Sus scrofa: one gene and its partner. The protein of the gene in region 2 purifies or fractionates together with the protein of the main gene of each other region. This does not show direct contact. Links are inferred from orthologs where the notes say so. Each region holds a gene or a part of one and is shown on either strand. Other genes may lie near its edges.

The links. Proteins that work in one complex are often made in the same cells at the same time.
Region 1: the proteins of G6PD (region 2) and HARS fractionate together in Homo sapiens (co-fractionation; 3 studies listed by BioGRID). This does not show direct contact. The link is inferred for Sus scrofa from reciprocal best matches to the Homo sapiens genes G6PD and HARS1.

Annotation. Positions count from the first base shown.
Region 1 is NC_010444.4:142,389,513-142,397,201, forward strand, and holds part of HARS (histidine--tRNA ligase, cytoplasmic), read right to left. Parts: intron 6,888-7,689; coding exon 6,768-6,887; intron 4,269-6,767; coding exon 4,173-4,268; intron 3,247-4,172; coding exon 3,121-3,246; intron 2,230-3,120; coding exon 2,122-2,229; intron 1,980-2,121; coding exon 1,881-1,979; intron 1,650-1,880; coding exon 1,556-1,649; intron 1,333-1,555; coding exon 881-1,332; intron 1-880. UniProt on the Homo sapiens protein: Catalyzes the ATP-dependent ligation of histidine to the 3'-end of its cognate tRNA, via the formation of an aminoacyl-adenylate intermediate (His-AMP). Plays a role in axon guidance.
Region 2 is NC_010461.5:125,035,928-125,044,179, reverse strand, and holds the start of G6PD (glucose-6-phosphate 1-dehydrogenase), read left to right. Parts: upstream 1-3,139; 5' UTR 3,140-3,159; coding exon of another isoform or gene 3,160-3,240; 5' UTR 3,241-3,492; coding exon 3,493-3,604; intron 3,605-3,731; exon of another isoform or gene 3,732-3,877; intron 3,878-4,429; coding exon 4,430-4,557; intron 4,558-7,573; exon of another isoform or gene 7,574-8,252. Other genes in the region: IKBKG (NF-kappa-B essential modulator), read right to left, coding at 3,160-3,240. UniProt on the Homo sapiens protein: Catalyzes the rate-limiting step of the oxidative pentose-phosphate pathway, which represents a route for the dissimilation of carbohydrates besides glycolysis.

The DNA of each region.
Region 1 (7,689 bases), on a different chromosome or scaffold from region 2:
TCTTACACTTCAGCCACAAGGCACAAATCGGGGGTTGTGTGGGTAGAGGGGAGACAGAATGCTGCTGCTGCTGCTGCTGCCAGCATCTTTTTATGGAAAACTCCTCTTATTGTTCTTAAAACATAAGATGCCTGCTGCAACAGTGACCTCACTGGAAAACGCGAGTGGTTTTCACTCTAGAGAAGAGGATGGGAGGCGGCGGAAGGTGACTGCCAGAGCACTCCCCCGGAGGAACTAGAATCAGCCACTTAAGAGCAGCAGCAACAGAGGTGCGCTTGAGGCCACCAAGGGCGTTCCTCGTGTGACTCTAGGTGCTGGAGAGTCCAGAGAACCATCTGAGGGATCCTGGAGCCGCAGACACATGCTTCCCACTTAGAGACGAAATCGCAAGCTGGCTGGGAGCCTGGATTCAAATTCTGACTCTGCCACTTATATCTTGGGTAAATTATTTGATCTATAATCTTCAGTTTCCTTGTCTAAGAAATGTAAATAATAAAAGCAGCTCCTGTCAGAGGGCTATTTAGGAATTTTATTAGACAATGCATGAAAAGCACTAAGCACCGTGCCTGGCACAGGGTAGTAAAATATTAAGTATTTTGTATTATGAGGACAATCCAGGTCTTTGGACACAGTGGCCTAGATTCCCGACAGCCCCGAGGGAAACAGGGACCCAGAGCCAAGGGTTTGGTGAAGAAAGAAGGGTCAGAGCTCCATCAGGCTGGCCTATAATGGGGCGGAAGTCCGTGAAGGACAGCAATTATCTTTTGCAAGTTCCTTTGCAAAGAGGCTCCTTGTCCAAAGCAGTACTGCTTGCCTCCTTGGAAGATAGCTCAGGTGCCACCAGCTGCCAGAATGTCGCCCACCCAGCCCCAAGACCTACCTCCAGCCTCTGCTCGACGATGGAGAAGATCCGCTCTACCCCAATGCTGAGTCCCACGCACGGCACCTTGCGCCCTTTGGGGTCAAACATGCCCACCAGCCCATCATAGCGCCCTCCAGCGGCCACACTGCCCACACCCAGGGGTTCTTCTCCAGCTTGGGCAGGGGGCTGCAGCAGCACCGCCTCATAGATCACCCCGGTATAGTAGTCCAGCCCTCGAGCAAGGCTCAGGTCGAAGGAGATCTGGGGGGATAAGAGCAAGCTCAGTTCCGGATGAGGCTCAAGGTCCTCCAGCCCCAGGGCTCCCGCATCAAACGGACTCACCTTGTCAGCGACGCCAAACAGGGTCAGGTATTCAAATAGCAGCTTCAGGTCTCCCAGGCCCTCCAAGGCCTGTTTGTTTTGGGACAGTTTAGGATCCTGGAGTAGCTGTTCCACCAGGGATACCCCGCCTAGGGAGACAGATTTGTGAGCCAGACTAATGAGAAAAAGGTAAGGGCTCTACCTTTTCCTCTGGACCACTTGCGCAGGCAGGCCTGTGTGCAGACACACACACACACACACACACACACACACACTCCCCCTCTCTCCTGTGCATCTACACACACAGAGGAGCTTGGGCTTTAGGCTTGAGGACAGTGGGACGGCTGCCGGGGAGGCGGGTTGGTTGCTCACCGTGCTGTTGGACGTAGTCCCCAATGCGGTCGGCCACCTCGGGTGCCAGGCCCTTCTCTCCCACCATCTCATTCTTTACTTCTTCCCAGGACATCTGGGCAGACAGATGCCGCCAGTCAGGGACCCCCTGGGCAGCTTCTCCACTGCCAGCAAGTGTGGGCCTCCTAGAGTGGCGGTCTTGAGCAGAACCTGCCCGCCAGCCTACATCCTGGGGTGTCTTCCTCTGGGGGGGACGGAGGCAGGGCCCTCTCGCTCCTCATCATTTCCACTTCACAGGGCAGGGAGGGGGTCCATGAAAAGACGAGTTGAGTGCTGGGGTCGTTACCTTGTCCAGCTTGTCCACCGAGGAGCAGATGGTGCGGAACTTGGTGTCAGGAACACCGCAGATGGCAAACAGCCCATCCAGGATGCGCCGATCATTCACCTGCAGCAGTGAGGAGCAGAGGCTCCCGCTACATGCCACGCAACAGCCTTGGACGCGTGCGCTACTGGTCCCTCTGCACCAGGACCTGCTCCTGTGAGAGGCCAGGCCCAGCTGTGCCCTCCCAGCCCCACTGAGCGCTGACCTTGACCAGAAAATCGCCTATCTGGAGTGAACTCAGGATTTCACACATGATCTTCAGGCACTCCGCATCGGGAATCATGGGGTCAAACTGCCCGGCAATGTCAAAGTCCTGCAGGGACAGGGGGAGTGAGAGGTCCTCGGGGGTTAACCTGTTTGGGGGGAGGACCCTTGGGGGCTCTGCTCTCTAGGAAGGAGGCCTCCTTGGACTCACGTGCAGAGCCCCTTCTTCATGCTGTTGGTCTGTCAGCCCAGAGCAACACCTCAGCCTCCCGGGTCCCTTCCCAGTCCTGGTTTCCTTCCCATCTGTTGGGCTAGTCTCTCATTATCTCACTCGTCTCTTTTCCCTTCTTTCCTTCCACTGTCCTGGGGCCCTCTGCAGCCTTCATCATTTTCTCTGTTCATTCAGAAGCTCTGCTGCCACTCTGGTCAATGATACCTCGAAGCCAATTCTTTTATCCATCGCTGTGATTCTATCACTATGGTTTAATATAAAGAGCACTGGACCAAGAGTTCTAATCTGGCCTTTCTTTGTGTTGTGTTTTTTTTTTTTAAGGGCCGCACCTGTGGCATATGGAGGTTCCCAGGCTGGGGGTGGAAGTGGAGCTGTAGCTGCCACCACAGCCACAGCACTGCGGGATCCGAGCCCTGTGCGCGACCTACACCACAGCTCACAGCAACACCAGGTCCTTAACCCACTGAGCGAGGCCAGGGATCGAACTTGTGTCCTCGTGGATCCTAGTCAGGTTCCTTACCGCTGAGCCACACCGGGAACTCCCTAACTTTCTTTTCTTATCCCTATGATCCCCTCATCTGGCTGAGCCTCAAGATTACTCATACGTAAAATGAGGAGAATAATCCCTGCCCTGCAAGTGAAAATACTAAAGAAATCTCAGGCTTAACATTATCTGGGGCACCCAGTTTGTTCAGGACACCACGAGGACGCAACAGATTCCCCTGGCTTGCGGGAGGGCCACCTTAGCCGGCCTGCCCCCGAACTCACACACTGGTAGAATTCCCGATACCGGCCTCTGGTCATTGCTGGGTTATCCCGCCGATACACTTTGGCTATGTGGTAGCGTTTAATATTGGTCAGTTTATTCATTGCCAAGTATCGCGCAAAAGGAACCTGATGAGAGAGTTAAGGAGAAAGTCCCTCCTATCGCAGGCGGCAAGTGGATTATCACCACGAGCAGAAGCTGGGGTCCGACCCCACCCTCTGTGGGTAAAACCGGCACCGGTTAGATGAACAGCTTTCCTGTACCCCAGCAAGAACCACCTTCGCTACCGCAAGGGACAGCTGAAATCTCCAAAAACACTAAGGCTCTTTTCTTTGGGGGCTGAGCTGAGCACAGCAGGGGCTGGGCAGACTGGCCGGGGAGCAGCAAAAGGGCCCCGTGGAGGATCTCTAAGCGTATGATGCGCGGACGTAGCCTGGAGATAAAGGACACGTGCTGTTGGTCAACGAAAGAGAACTCTGCCCACCGGACAGGGCAAGTGAGACGGATTCTGGAGCCACGGGATTGCTGGCGGAGACCTGGGCCCTACCTAAAGCTGAGGTCCCGCTCAGGATTCACAGGCCTTCTTTTTTTTTTTTTTTTTTGTCTTTTGTCTTTGTTGTTGTTGTTGTTGTTGCTATTTCTTGGGCCGCTCCCGCAGCATATGGAGGTTCCCAGGCTAGGGGTCCAGTCGGAGCTGTAGCCACCGGCCTACGCCAGAGCCACAGCAACGCGGGATCCGAGCCGCGTCTGCAACCTACACCACAGCTCACGGCAACGCCAGATCGTTAACCCACTGAGCAAGTGCAGGGACCGAACCCACAACCTCATGGTTCCTAGTCGGATTCGTTAACCACTGCGCCACGACGGGAACTCCTGGCCTTCTAAGGCTATAGTCTGTTTTGCCAATGTCTTGCTCCTGGTTTAGAGAAATAATTTCCCTGACTGCAAAATGCATCATAGTTGATCCCACCTGTGTCTAGCTGTCCCCAAGCCTGAAGCTAGAAAAAGCCCCAGTCCAGTTAAGGGCCAATCCATCCCAAGTGTAAAAAGATACAGTGAGGTCATAGCGGAGGGACAGCAGCTCGCCACCCTGGTCCTTCAGGTCATAGATAAGCTTAGAGTCTTCCCCGTACTTTCCAGTCAGTGTTTCCTGGAGAAAACAGAAAGAAATGGGATCACCCCGTAAGTATAACAATTTAACAGCAAGTTTTAAAAACAAAAACTACCACTCTCACATGACTGATTTCAGCCTATTTACTCTTCCTCTGCTCTCTCTTCCGATGTTTATTTATTTGATGTGGTTATAATCAAAAGGAAACCCCGCTTTTGTTTTCTATTTATCACATTTCCATTTTGTGACAGAGCAGAAGTACTATTTAAATTTTTTTTTTTTACTTTTTGCCTGTACCTGCAACATATAGAAGTTCCTGCATCAGGGATCAAACCCTTGCCACAGCAGCAAGCCCAGCCACTGCAGTGACAACGCCAGATCCTTATCCTGCTGGGCCACCAGAGGAACTCCCTGAAGAGTTATTTTTATTTCTATTATTTATTTATTTATTTACTTGTCTTTTTGTCTTTTCTAGGGCTGCACCTGCAGCATATGGAGGTTCCCAGGCTAGGGGTCCAATGGGAGCTGTAGCCGCCGGCCTACACCAGAGCCACAGGAACTGGGGATCTGAGATCCAAGCTGCATCTGCGACCTACACCACAGCTCACGGCAATGCCGGATCCTTAACCCACTGAGCAAGGCCAGGGACCGAACCTGAAACCTCATGGTTCCTAGTCGGATTCACTAACCACTGAGCCACGATGGGAGCTCCTGAAGTGTTACTTAAAAGCTGCATAATTCCAGTGAGAAGAAGCTCTGTATCTCCTTCCTGCCTAGTGTTTCACTAATAGATGTTTAGGCTATACCAACTGAAAAAAACCATTCTGAAACAATACATTTCTGTTGTTTGTTTGAGCCATCCAGTCTATGGCAGTTTGTTATGGCAGCCTTAGCAAACTAACATAGTTGGTAGAAATAGGATTGAGGTCACTCAGAAATTCTACTTCTGTGAATTTACCCTGCAGTTAAACACCGACAGTACCAGACACTGTTCTAAGCCCAGCATACACATCACATCCGTGAACAAAGGCAGCCCAGGCCCTCATGGATCTTCTATAGTCATGAGAAGAGACAGGCAGGACACTAATGCAAGGAAACCAAGTAACAGGTAATTAATTTTCTTTTTCAGCTGCACCTGCAGCATATGGACGTTCTGGGCTAGGGATCAAATCCAAGCTGGAGCTGTGACCTCGGCCACAGCTGCGGCAATCCTGGAACATCAGCCCAGTGCGCCAGGCTGAGGACTGAAGCAACAGCTCCACAGAGACCAGCTGGATCGTGAACCTGCTGCACTGCAGTGGGAACACCTATTTACTCATTTATTTTGGCTGAGGTGTGCAGCTGCTTGATGTGGGATCTCAGTTCCCAGACCAGGTATTGAACTCTGGCCACAGTGGTGCAAGCACTGAGTCCTAACCACTAAACCACCAGGAATTCCCAAGAACAGTTTCTTTTCATTTGGCTGCGCATTGGTGAGGGATTGAACTCACACCACTGCAATGACCTAAGCAACAGCAGTGGCAATGCCAGATCCTCTAACCTTTGGGCCACCATGGAACTCCCCGAGAACTTTTTTTTTTTGGCTGCTCCACGGCATATGGAGCTCCCAGGGATCAGATCTGAGCTGCAGTTACGACCCAAGCCACAGCTGCAGCAATGCCAGATCCATAACCCACTGTGCCGGGCCGGAACTCCCTAAGAATTTTGCCTTTTTTTTTTTTGCTTCGAAGCTACGGCTGCTGGCCTACCTCACAGCCACAGCAATGCGGGATCCAAGCCATGTCTGCCACCTACACCACAGCTCACAGCAATGCCCGATCGCTGGCCCACTGAGTGAGGCCAGGGATCAAACGTGTATCCTCATGGATACTAGTCGGATTTGTTTCTACTGGGAACTCCCAAGAACTGTCTTTTTTTAATAGCAAAGAACTGGAAACAACCTCAAGGTCAATCAGTGAGGAGACTGGCTGCATACTTATCCTTTACATGTTTGGTCTGCATGTACCTGGGACAAACTCAAGGACAGGTGCCATGGAATTCAGTGTAGACAGGAGCCACACCAATGTCCACTCCTGAGAGGTGCTCTCTTTTGGAAGCTGCTGGCCACAACGAAGGTAAATTAAAAAGCAGGGCCTCGAAGTTCCCTTTGTGGGGAAGCGGAATTGAATCCGACGAGGCACCATGAGGTTGTGGGTTTGATCCCCAGCCTGGCTCAGTGGGGTGAGGATCCGGCGTTGCCGTGAGCTGTGGGGTAGGTCGCAGATGCGCCTCGGCTCCCGTGTTGCTGTGGCTGTGGTGTAGGCCGGCAGCTGTAGCTCCAATTCAACCCCTAGCCTGGGAACCTCCATATGCTGCAGGTGGGGCCCTAAAAAAAAGCAGAAAAAAAAAAAAACAGGGCCTCTCCCTCTATGCCAGTCCCGTGCTGCTTCTCCTGGAGAAAAGATCCACATTCTTCTGCAACAAGAGAGAGCCCTTTGGGCCTCACTGGCCTGCCCTCCTCTTTGTTGTCCGTGCAGCTCCTCTTCGTCCCTCACTCACCTTCAGTTCAAACACAGGAGTGTCGATCACTTCCGCACCGTGGCGCTTGAAGCAGCCGATGATCACGTCAAACACCTTCTCCCGAACGGCCATCTGCCGGGGACTGTAGTCTCTCGTGCCCTTGGAGACAACAGGGATGGGGTTTCAAAACTAAGACGAAGAAGGTCTAGAAATACATATACGTATATATATATATATATATTTTTTTTTGTCTTTTTGCCTTTTCTAGGGCCGCTCCCACGGCATATGGAGGCTCCCAGGCCAGGGGTCCAATTGGCACTGTAGCTGCCGGCCTACGCCACAGCCACAGCAACACGGGATCTGAGCACGTCTGCAACCTACACCACAGCTCATGGCAATGCCCGATCCTCGACCCACTGAGCAAGGCCAGGGATCGAACCCGCAACCTCATGGTTCGTAGTCGGATTCATTAACCACTGTGCTACAACAGGAACTCCAAGGTCCAGAAATATAAAAGCATGACCTCAATGATGATGAATGCAAACCCTGTCCCAAGCTTCGATTCTCCTACAGGCCAAGAGTTGGAGAACAAGTACAAGCCATTCCCTATTAATGACCACATCCATTTGCTCTTACCCCTCTAAGTTCTAATGCCTTTTTAGCTTGGATCTATTTTCTAGATTTCCTGGAACTCTGTTCTCTGAGAAGATTTTCCTGAAATCATTTTCTCAGATAACACATTTCCCTGCCTAACGGAAACCAGCTACCTGGTGACAGGCATATAACCAATCAAACTGGCTTAACCAATTGAATTCCAGATTTTACAAGTAACATTCGTTTCCGAGATAACTTAAAAAAAAAAAAATCCTGGAATTCCCTGGTGGCTCAAAGAGTTAAGGATCCAGCGTTGTTACTGCTGTGGCTCAGGTTGCTGCGGTAGCTCAGGTTTGATCCCTGGCCC
Region 2 (8,252 bases):
AAAGGAAAGAAGGAAAAGGATGTAATACAAGTGAAGGATCTGAAATGAGGTCCTCCTGGATCAGGGGAGCCCTAAATCCAATGATGAGTGTCCTTCTAAGAGACACAAAAGGAGAGACAGACACAGAAGAAGCCACGTGAAGATGCAGAGACTGGAGTGATGCGGCCCCAGCCCAGAGATGCCTGGAGCCACCACAGGCTGGAAGAGGCAGGAAGGACCCTCCCCTGGCGCCCCCAGAGGGAACAGGGCCCTGCCACGCCCTGACTTCAGGCTCCTGGTTTCCAGAACGGAGAGAGGACAAATGCTGTTGTCTTAAGCCATCTGCCTTGGACTCTCTCACGGCAGCCTAGGAAATCAATGTACCTAGTGAGAAGGGCTTCACAGAGACCACTCAGAACCTGGTGGGCATTCCCTGGAGCTGAGCACCCGAAAGCGGGAGCTGGGCTTGCAGCCTAAGGTGGCAGGGCCGAGAGTCAGGCTGAGCTGTGTGCATCGTCCTGTGAACTAGAGGCGGGGGCAGGGGGGCGCTCTGCGGGACAGCACCCGCCCGGAGCCCTTTTAAATCCTGCCCAAGAAAACCGACTACATGGAGGAGGAAGCCGATCCCAAAAGAAGCTTCCAGGAGAGAGCCTGAGCTGCAGCTAGAGACGTTTAACACCAAACAAGCTGGGACGTTTCGCTGTTACACTGATACTTCTCTGAATAACCCCCTGACCCACCAGCACTATCTGACCAACCGCTGAGCCCTGAGTCCAGAACAGCCACCACTTCACTGGCTGCTCCTGCTCTGGCTCTTTCCGTGGACCATCCTCGCCACACTTTTCATGCTGTGATGCTCCGGGGCTCCTTTCTGGGATCTCATCTTTTCTCTAACTACAGCTACTCCAGCGCTAATTCCATCCAGACTCCCAGCTTTAACCCCCATGCATCAAACTCAGCATCTCAGGCTGGACATCTAATCCTCCTCTCAAAACTCACCTCTCCAGAACTGCACTGCTCACAGTCCCCAGAAGCCGGCTCCACCCACAGCCTCCCTTATTATTAGGTGACAGCACGTCCACCCTCCGGTCAGCAGGACACAACCTGGGAGTCCTTCTTGAGTCCTCTCTGGCCCTCAGGGCTCACGTCTAATCCATTGGGAAATCCCGTCAAAAGGTATCTTAGAATCTATTTGAGGACACTAAGCAATTAATGTTAACTTATTTTAGGTGTGATACTTGGTACTGTGGTTGTTTCTTTCAAAGTCCATTCTTAGAGATGCATCCTGAAACATTTACAGCGAAATTATAAGGTGCCTGGAATTTGGTTCAAGGTAATGGGGGACCTGCTCGGTATGTACCTGAGAAAAATGAAAACACAGGTCCACGTGAGACTGCTCTTAGCGGCCAAAGGGTGGAAATGACCTACATGTCCATCGACTGATGAATAAACACAATCTAGTACATTCCTACCCTACCATGTTAATAATATTGAGCAGGAGTGGCGCAGTGGTTAACGAATCCGACTAGGAACCATGAGGTTGCGGGTTCGATCCCTGCCCTTGCTCAGTGGGTTAACGATCCGGCGTTGCCCTGAGCTGTGGTGTAGGTTGCAGACACGGCTCAGATCCCACATTGCTGTGGCTCTGGTGTAGGCCGGCGGCTACAGCTCTGATTGGACCCCTAGCCTGGGAACCTCCATATGCCCGGGAGCGGTCCAAGAAATGGCAAAAAGACAAAAAAAAAAAAAAAAAAAAAAAAAAAAAAAAAAACACTGAGCAACACAGAGAAACAGCTCACAAGAAACCACATATTATGAGTCCATTTATGTGAACTATCCAGAATAGGCAAACATAGAGAGATGGAAAGACTAATAGATGCTTAGAACTGAAGTAGATAAGGTGATGGGTTGATGAAAATGTTCGAGAATGAATGGTGATGGTTGTGCAGGTGTGTGAATATACTGAAAAGCAGTGAATTGTTCACTTTCAATGGGTGAATTGTGTGGTATGTGAATTATATGTCAATAAAGCTATTTTTGAAAATAAGAGATTATGAGGGGTATAAATTAAGCAAAGGTAGCAACAGGTTGATAACTGTTGACGCTGGGAGGTGGGTACCTTGGGTTTATACTATCCTTTCTACTTTTGCACATCTTTGGTATTTTTCACAATAAAACGATCCGAGCCCCATCATCTCTCACCTGGATAACTGCAATAACCTCCTAGCAGATCACCTTGCTCCAACCCTTGCCCCCTACGTACAGTCTGTTCTACCCACCGCGCCAGAACAATCAGACCAAAAGGTAATTCCTACCACGTCTCTCCTCTATCCAGATCCCTACCATAGTTCCTCATGGCCCTCCGCCAAAAAGCCACAACCCGTACAACAAGATAGTAGGCCGTGCACTATCTGGTCCCCCATTGCTTCCTCTCTAACTATTCCCCCCTCGCTCACTCTATTCCAGGTATAGTGGCCTCCTTATGGCCCATTCATCCTCAAGTCACAGAACTGATATGAGGTCCGGCAGACATTAACCGTTGTGCAAAGTGAGCAAAATGAAGCGCATGAGGAAAGATGCTTAGCTGTCAAATTACCCTTGAGGCTTTTTTAAAGAACTTAACAACTTCAAATGTAGTCAAGTTCGATGAACAGAAAATGTCTCCGAAGTAGAATAGTCATCCACGAACTAGGGGTGTGGTCAGACTCCGCCGCGGCAGAGGAAGGAGAGGCGAAAACTGCCCCGCTCGTCGCCAGAGTAACCTGGGTCCTGAATTGGCCAGCCTCGGCGGGTGATCTAGAAGCGGGCGGCAGAACCGGGCCGGGGCCCAATAGGAGGGGAAAGCCTGGTCGTCCAGGGGGGGTCTCGGAGGTGGCGGAACGCCCACCAATAGTACCCTATCTTCGGAGAAGAGGACCACACCTGTCAGCAGAGTCGGTCCGACGTGAGAAGGGCGGGAGCGGCGGGTCCCGAGCGCTCCTCGGACCCCGGCGCTCGGAGAAAGTTCGGGTTCCGCGGTCGCCCTTCCCTTCTCGGGCTGCCAAATTCCCATTTCCTGCTTCCGGTGTCGTAGCTGTGGGATCCGGAAGTAAAACACTCACACTCCGCCCCCACCCCGCCCCCAGCAGGCCCGCGAGAGGCGCGAGGGAGACTTGTCCCCAGACGGAAGCCCGAGCGTACCAGGCTCGGCTGGCCCGTAGGACACTCTTCAATAATATGCGTCGCGACCCGCATTTCCCCTTGTCTCTCCGGCGGCGGCATCCAGCGAGCGGCAGGTCGGCTGCCCCGCCCCCACTAGGGGAGGAGCCACGACGAGGCTATCATGTGATAGGGCCAGTTTGATCGGAGTCGACGACCCGTCCAGTGAGGGGGCGAGGCTAAAGAGGGCCCCGCCTACAAGTGGGGTCGAGGGGCGTGACCACGCTGCCGGCGGAAGTGGAGCCCTTCTTGAGGGCGCAGGACAACCCCGGGCTGACGAGAAAGCCAGACTGTAGGGGCGGGGCCAGGCCAGGGATGGGAACGCGGGCGAGCTGTGGGGAGCTGCACACGGACTCGCGAAGCATCGGGGACACGGCGCAGCGGCGGCGAGGACAGCAGGGGGCCCGCAGCCCGGCGGCCGGCGCAGGTGCTCAAGGGGCGGAGCGGGTCAGGCCGGCAGGCCTCGCGCGGGAGCGGGGGGGGGGGGGTCCCACCGGCCCGAGATGCGCGCGCACCTGCCTCGCCCCGCCTCTCGGGGGAGGGGCACACGGAGGCCCCGCCCGCGCGCCTCGCCTGAGGCTGGTCAGCTCAGACCAGGTGCCCGCCCCCGCCAGTTAAATGGGCAGGCGGGGCGCAGCCCCAGGAAACTGCCGGGAACTCCGGGGCTGCGAGCGCGAAGGGCAGCAGCGGTGAAGCACAGGTAACTGAGTGGGCGAACGCTTTGATTTGCCACGCTTGGGAAGGGGGCAAAATCGAGAGGGTGTTAACTGATCTAACCGTCCCCTGCATACCCCCATTGGGCCCCTGAGGGGACCCCGAGAGGGGCGGGGATTGGCCGGGGTCTCCCAGCGGTGGTGGAGGAGGACTAGATCTACACTGTCAGCTGCTTGATCTAACTTGCTCCAGCTCATTGAGGAGCTTCCGCCTGAATCCTTGGTGAGATGGCCTTAGCAGGTGGTCCGATGTTCCAGCTTGGTGTTACTCCCCCAGAGCTGAGGCCCTCGTTGGAGTCCACTAATGCTTAGAGTAATGTTGTAATGTACACGCTGAAAGAAGGCTGTCTGGAGAGTATGACCAGAGCCAGCAGTTTCTCATCCCCCAACCATCCTGCTCGCAGCCATTCCCACCAAGTGGTTTCAGTAATCAGGCATCAGCTGGACGAGAGCCCAAAGGACTCCTCCAGAAAGGGGCCAGCCAGCTTCTCAGTGCTTTCCGGTTCTCCTGCCTCATCAATAAGTTTTTTTTCCTCCAGAGAGTACCATGGCAGAGCAGGTGGCTCTGAGCCGGACCCAAGTGTGCGGGATCCTGCGGGAAGAGCTGTACCAGGGCGATGCTTTCCATCAGTCGGATACACATATCTTTATCATCATGGGAGCATCGGTGAGTCTCCCCCAGGCCCCACATCTTAAATGCAGCAGACTTAGAGCAGGACATGGCTTAGGTCCCTTCCCTCTCCGTGCCTGGGCTCGCCCACCTGCTTGTTATAGGGCCTCTCCAGCTCTGCTTGGCTGGGCTCTCCCTCCTGCTCTTGCGCCACTATCACCCCAGCACCCCCTGGTGTAGGCGTATTGCAAGGCCTTGCTGAAGTCTGTGTGCAGCCATTGGCTGCAGCCTCATGCCCTGGAGCCCGGAGGTCCGCAGGGGCTGTGTGCTTGGACTTCCTCCTCCGTGGGGAAAAGTGAGAGGCAAACAGGGGAAGCTGTTCATTCTGGGAGTGTGTTTTCCAAACTCGCGTCTGACTTGGTAAACGGCGTGAAGTCAGTTTAGTTCCAGAGGTAGGATCTGAGGTCTGATCTCCACCTTGTGTCTGCCACGTCAGGTTCCGTGAGGACAAACACTCAACTTTGCTTTGAGCAGCATCTCTTTGCCCCAGCTTCTAGGGCCTGCTCAGGAGCTACGACCAGCCCCATTGTCTAGCCAGTGGACCTGCCATTTTGCTCTGATCAGAAAGGCCAAAGAGTAGACACAGAAGGGGGTGGCTCCTCAGAGAGCCATGACCCGCAGCCTAAACTCCCTCTGCATGCCGTGCCGTGCGACCCAAGCTCTCCCATGGGGCAAGACGCAGGCGGCCTGCTGGGGTTTCCTGTGCAAGTGATCTGTGTCCTCTTTTCCCTCTTAACCTTGGATGTGACCAAGAATCTGCTACCCGTGGCATCCACTGCTTTGCGGGTAACTTACTGTATAGACCTTGAGCGAGAGTCCTACCGGAACTCCTTAGCTCTTGACAGGGCAGGCCACTGTCCCTCTGTGCCTTCCACGCTGCTGTCCTCTCAGCTCTGGGGAACTCACCGCCTGCTCCCTGCCGACTTTGTGATTCTGGGCAGGACTTGGAAAAGGAGAGCCAGAAGGCGAAGGCTACCTTAAGCACTATCCCTTGAACCTTTGTCACCCGGCGACTGGGGGGTGCGCAGGAGGAACACACAGGGGGACAGGCTTATCCTGCACCCTGGCCCCAGCCCGGTCCGCTTAGAGGAGCCTCAAACCTTAACACTTGGAACTCTGACCATTCGGCCCTTCATCCAAGAACCCGGATGGTTTTTCCTCCTTCCTCCATCCCCACCCCAGCCTGTCGCAGGCCTCCGGAAGTGGCCCGTGGCCCCAGGCGCTGCGCCTCGCCGAGAGCAGCCAGGTGTGACCTGGGCCAAGTGTCTTTTCCCTCGTTGTCTCCACTTATCGACTGAGGGCTTTTGAAACAAGTGCCCAGGGCCCTGCGGAGCCGACCCTCTGACCCCTGGTGGCCTTCTCTTGTGGCCTGGCTCTGGGTTAGGCAACTTCGTGTCTTTGCAATCGGCTGGGTTCCCCTTTGCTCTCCTCTGCTCCGGGGCGGCTCTGCAGGTGGAGTGGGGGCGCCGGGGGTCCTGGGGGAGGAGCCTCCTTGTTTGTTTCTCCCTCCTCCTGCTCGGCAGGGGCGCCCAGGCTTGGGGGCGCCCCGGCTCGGGGCTGGCTCGGGCAGCACCTGGAACAGCTCCCGCCCCCCGCCACCCTCTAAGGTGTCCCTCCCTCCCTCCTCCCCAGGGGGTGGCAGCAGCCGCACAGAGAACTTGCTGGTTGCACGGAGCAGCAGGGTCTGAGCTCGGCCTCCCATCCGGAACCTGCTGCTCCAGGAAACCAGTGAGGTCTCTGTTCGTTCAGCCGTCTGGCACGGCGCGTGCTGGAGCCCCTGCTCCCCAGCCTGGCGGGGGCCCAGGGTGAGCGCATGTGACAGAAGACACCAGCAGGCCTTGGTGTCCGCAGAGCCAGGGCCACAGGAGCCTGGCACCCGGAGGGAAGAGCAGACCTGGAGCCCCGGGCTGTCCTCTGCCGCTTCGCCCTCGCCTGCCTGCCCACCCGTTGCCCGCACGCCCCACTTCCTTCCTGGGGGCGGCCCAGTGCTGCTCAGGAGTTACCCAATGGCTTTAGGCCACTCTCTCTTCCCTTCTCGGGACTCTCACGTCAGCAGGAAGGGAGAGGAGCTAACTCACTGTCCCAGTCCAGAGAGCTCTGGAATGAAAGGATTCCGTTTCTGCGAGAACAGAGTACCGTTGGGTCTGGCAGATGCGTCTGCCCCCATCTGATAGGACCTCGGCCAGGCTGGGGCCACTCCCCCCCCCCACCGGAGATGGCGGAGGAGGGGGGGAGGGCAGGAGAAGGGCCTGGGAGCCCTCGGGCAAGATTGGCTGCCTGGCTGCCGGAGGGTCCCTCGCCCCTCACCCCTCAGCCTCAGATCCCCACCCAGCCCACAAGGTCCCTGGACCCTCCCTGTCCTCAGGGTGTTTCTGAGCTCCCCCCCCCCCCCGCCCCCGCCACTGGGCCGATAAGGTTCTTGCTGTGTCATGGTGACGCTGGCGCACCCCCAAAGGCCGGTGATTCATGGGCCCCGGGTGTAGGAGGGAGGGCCGTTTTGTTGCTTTTGCGGCCCAGCCTGGCTCGCCAGCCCCAGGTTCTCTCGCCTCAGGGGCTGGGTGGGTCCTTGACCCGAGTGACCACAGGGGGACAAGGATGGCCCACCCCTGCCGGGCCTCCAGAGTTCACTGCCGCACCCTCGGCCCGGAAACACTCAGGGACTGAGACTTTAGAGACCTGGAGACTGAGGTCAGATCTGGGCGGTGACAGGCAGGTGGTGCCCCAGGTCCCTATGCCCCAGCCGGGCCCTTTCCTGTTCCTGGCAGCCGGAAGTCTTAATCAGGTCTTGCTTCTCCTGCAAAGTCACTGAGTGTCCCCAGGCGGTTCCTCCCCTGCTCTGGTCCGCAGGCAGAAGGGGGGTTGGGGGAGATGAAAGGCCTCCCACCGCCTCCCCGCCAGGAGCCCTTGGCCCTCAGCCGCCCCCGCACGCGGTGTGCCCCTCCCCACACGGCTTCCTTCGCACAGAGGAGTCTGGCCCAGGTGGGCCCCCTGTCCCCGCTGTCCTGGGTCCTACCTCGCCGTTCCCATGGGTGACCTGGAGCCCAGCGGGCCGCTGGTTTGGGGGCTGAGCTGACTGAAGCAAGCAGGTTCTGTCGCTGCTTAATCCCAAAGGGCACGGCGAGACCAGACAGCGCGGGGTGTGGGGCACACCGTGACTCAGCAGGCAGGAGACCGGTCCCAGTTGGTCGCAGCCCGCTGGAATTTGATCGAAGCAAACATTCCCGGTGCCCAGAAGGCCAGGGAGGTGGGAGGTGGGTGCGGGCTGTGGCGCTGCCGCTTCCCAGGCTCAGTCAGCACTGATTGTCGCCAAGAGGAGGCCCAGAGTGGGGCCTGGAAGGGGAGCTTGAGGCCAGGCTGGGGTCAGAGCTGGGACCCTGAGGCTGCTGTCCCGGAGCCAGGGCAGCCACACGGGGAACCCTGGTTGGGGAAGCACCCACTCTGCGGTCCCAGCAGGGACCAGAGATGGCAGAGAGAGGCTTGGACTTGTCCCTCTGCAGAGAGCGGCTCTCCCCAGGACCCTGGGGACAAAACGAGGCACAGGAGGAAGGCGAAGTTTCAAGTGTCGGTTCCGGCTTCCGTGGGGCAGTCGCTCCCAGACACGGACTCATCCGAGGCTGGCAGCTCCTAAGAGGTCACTTTGCTTGGGGCGTTCAGGGCCTTCCTGATTACAGGGCGGCCTCACGAAAGAGCCA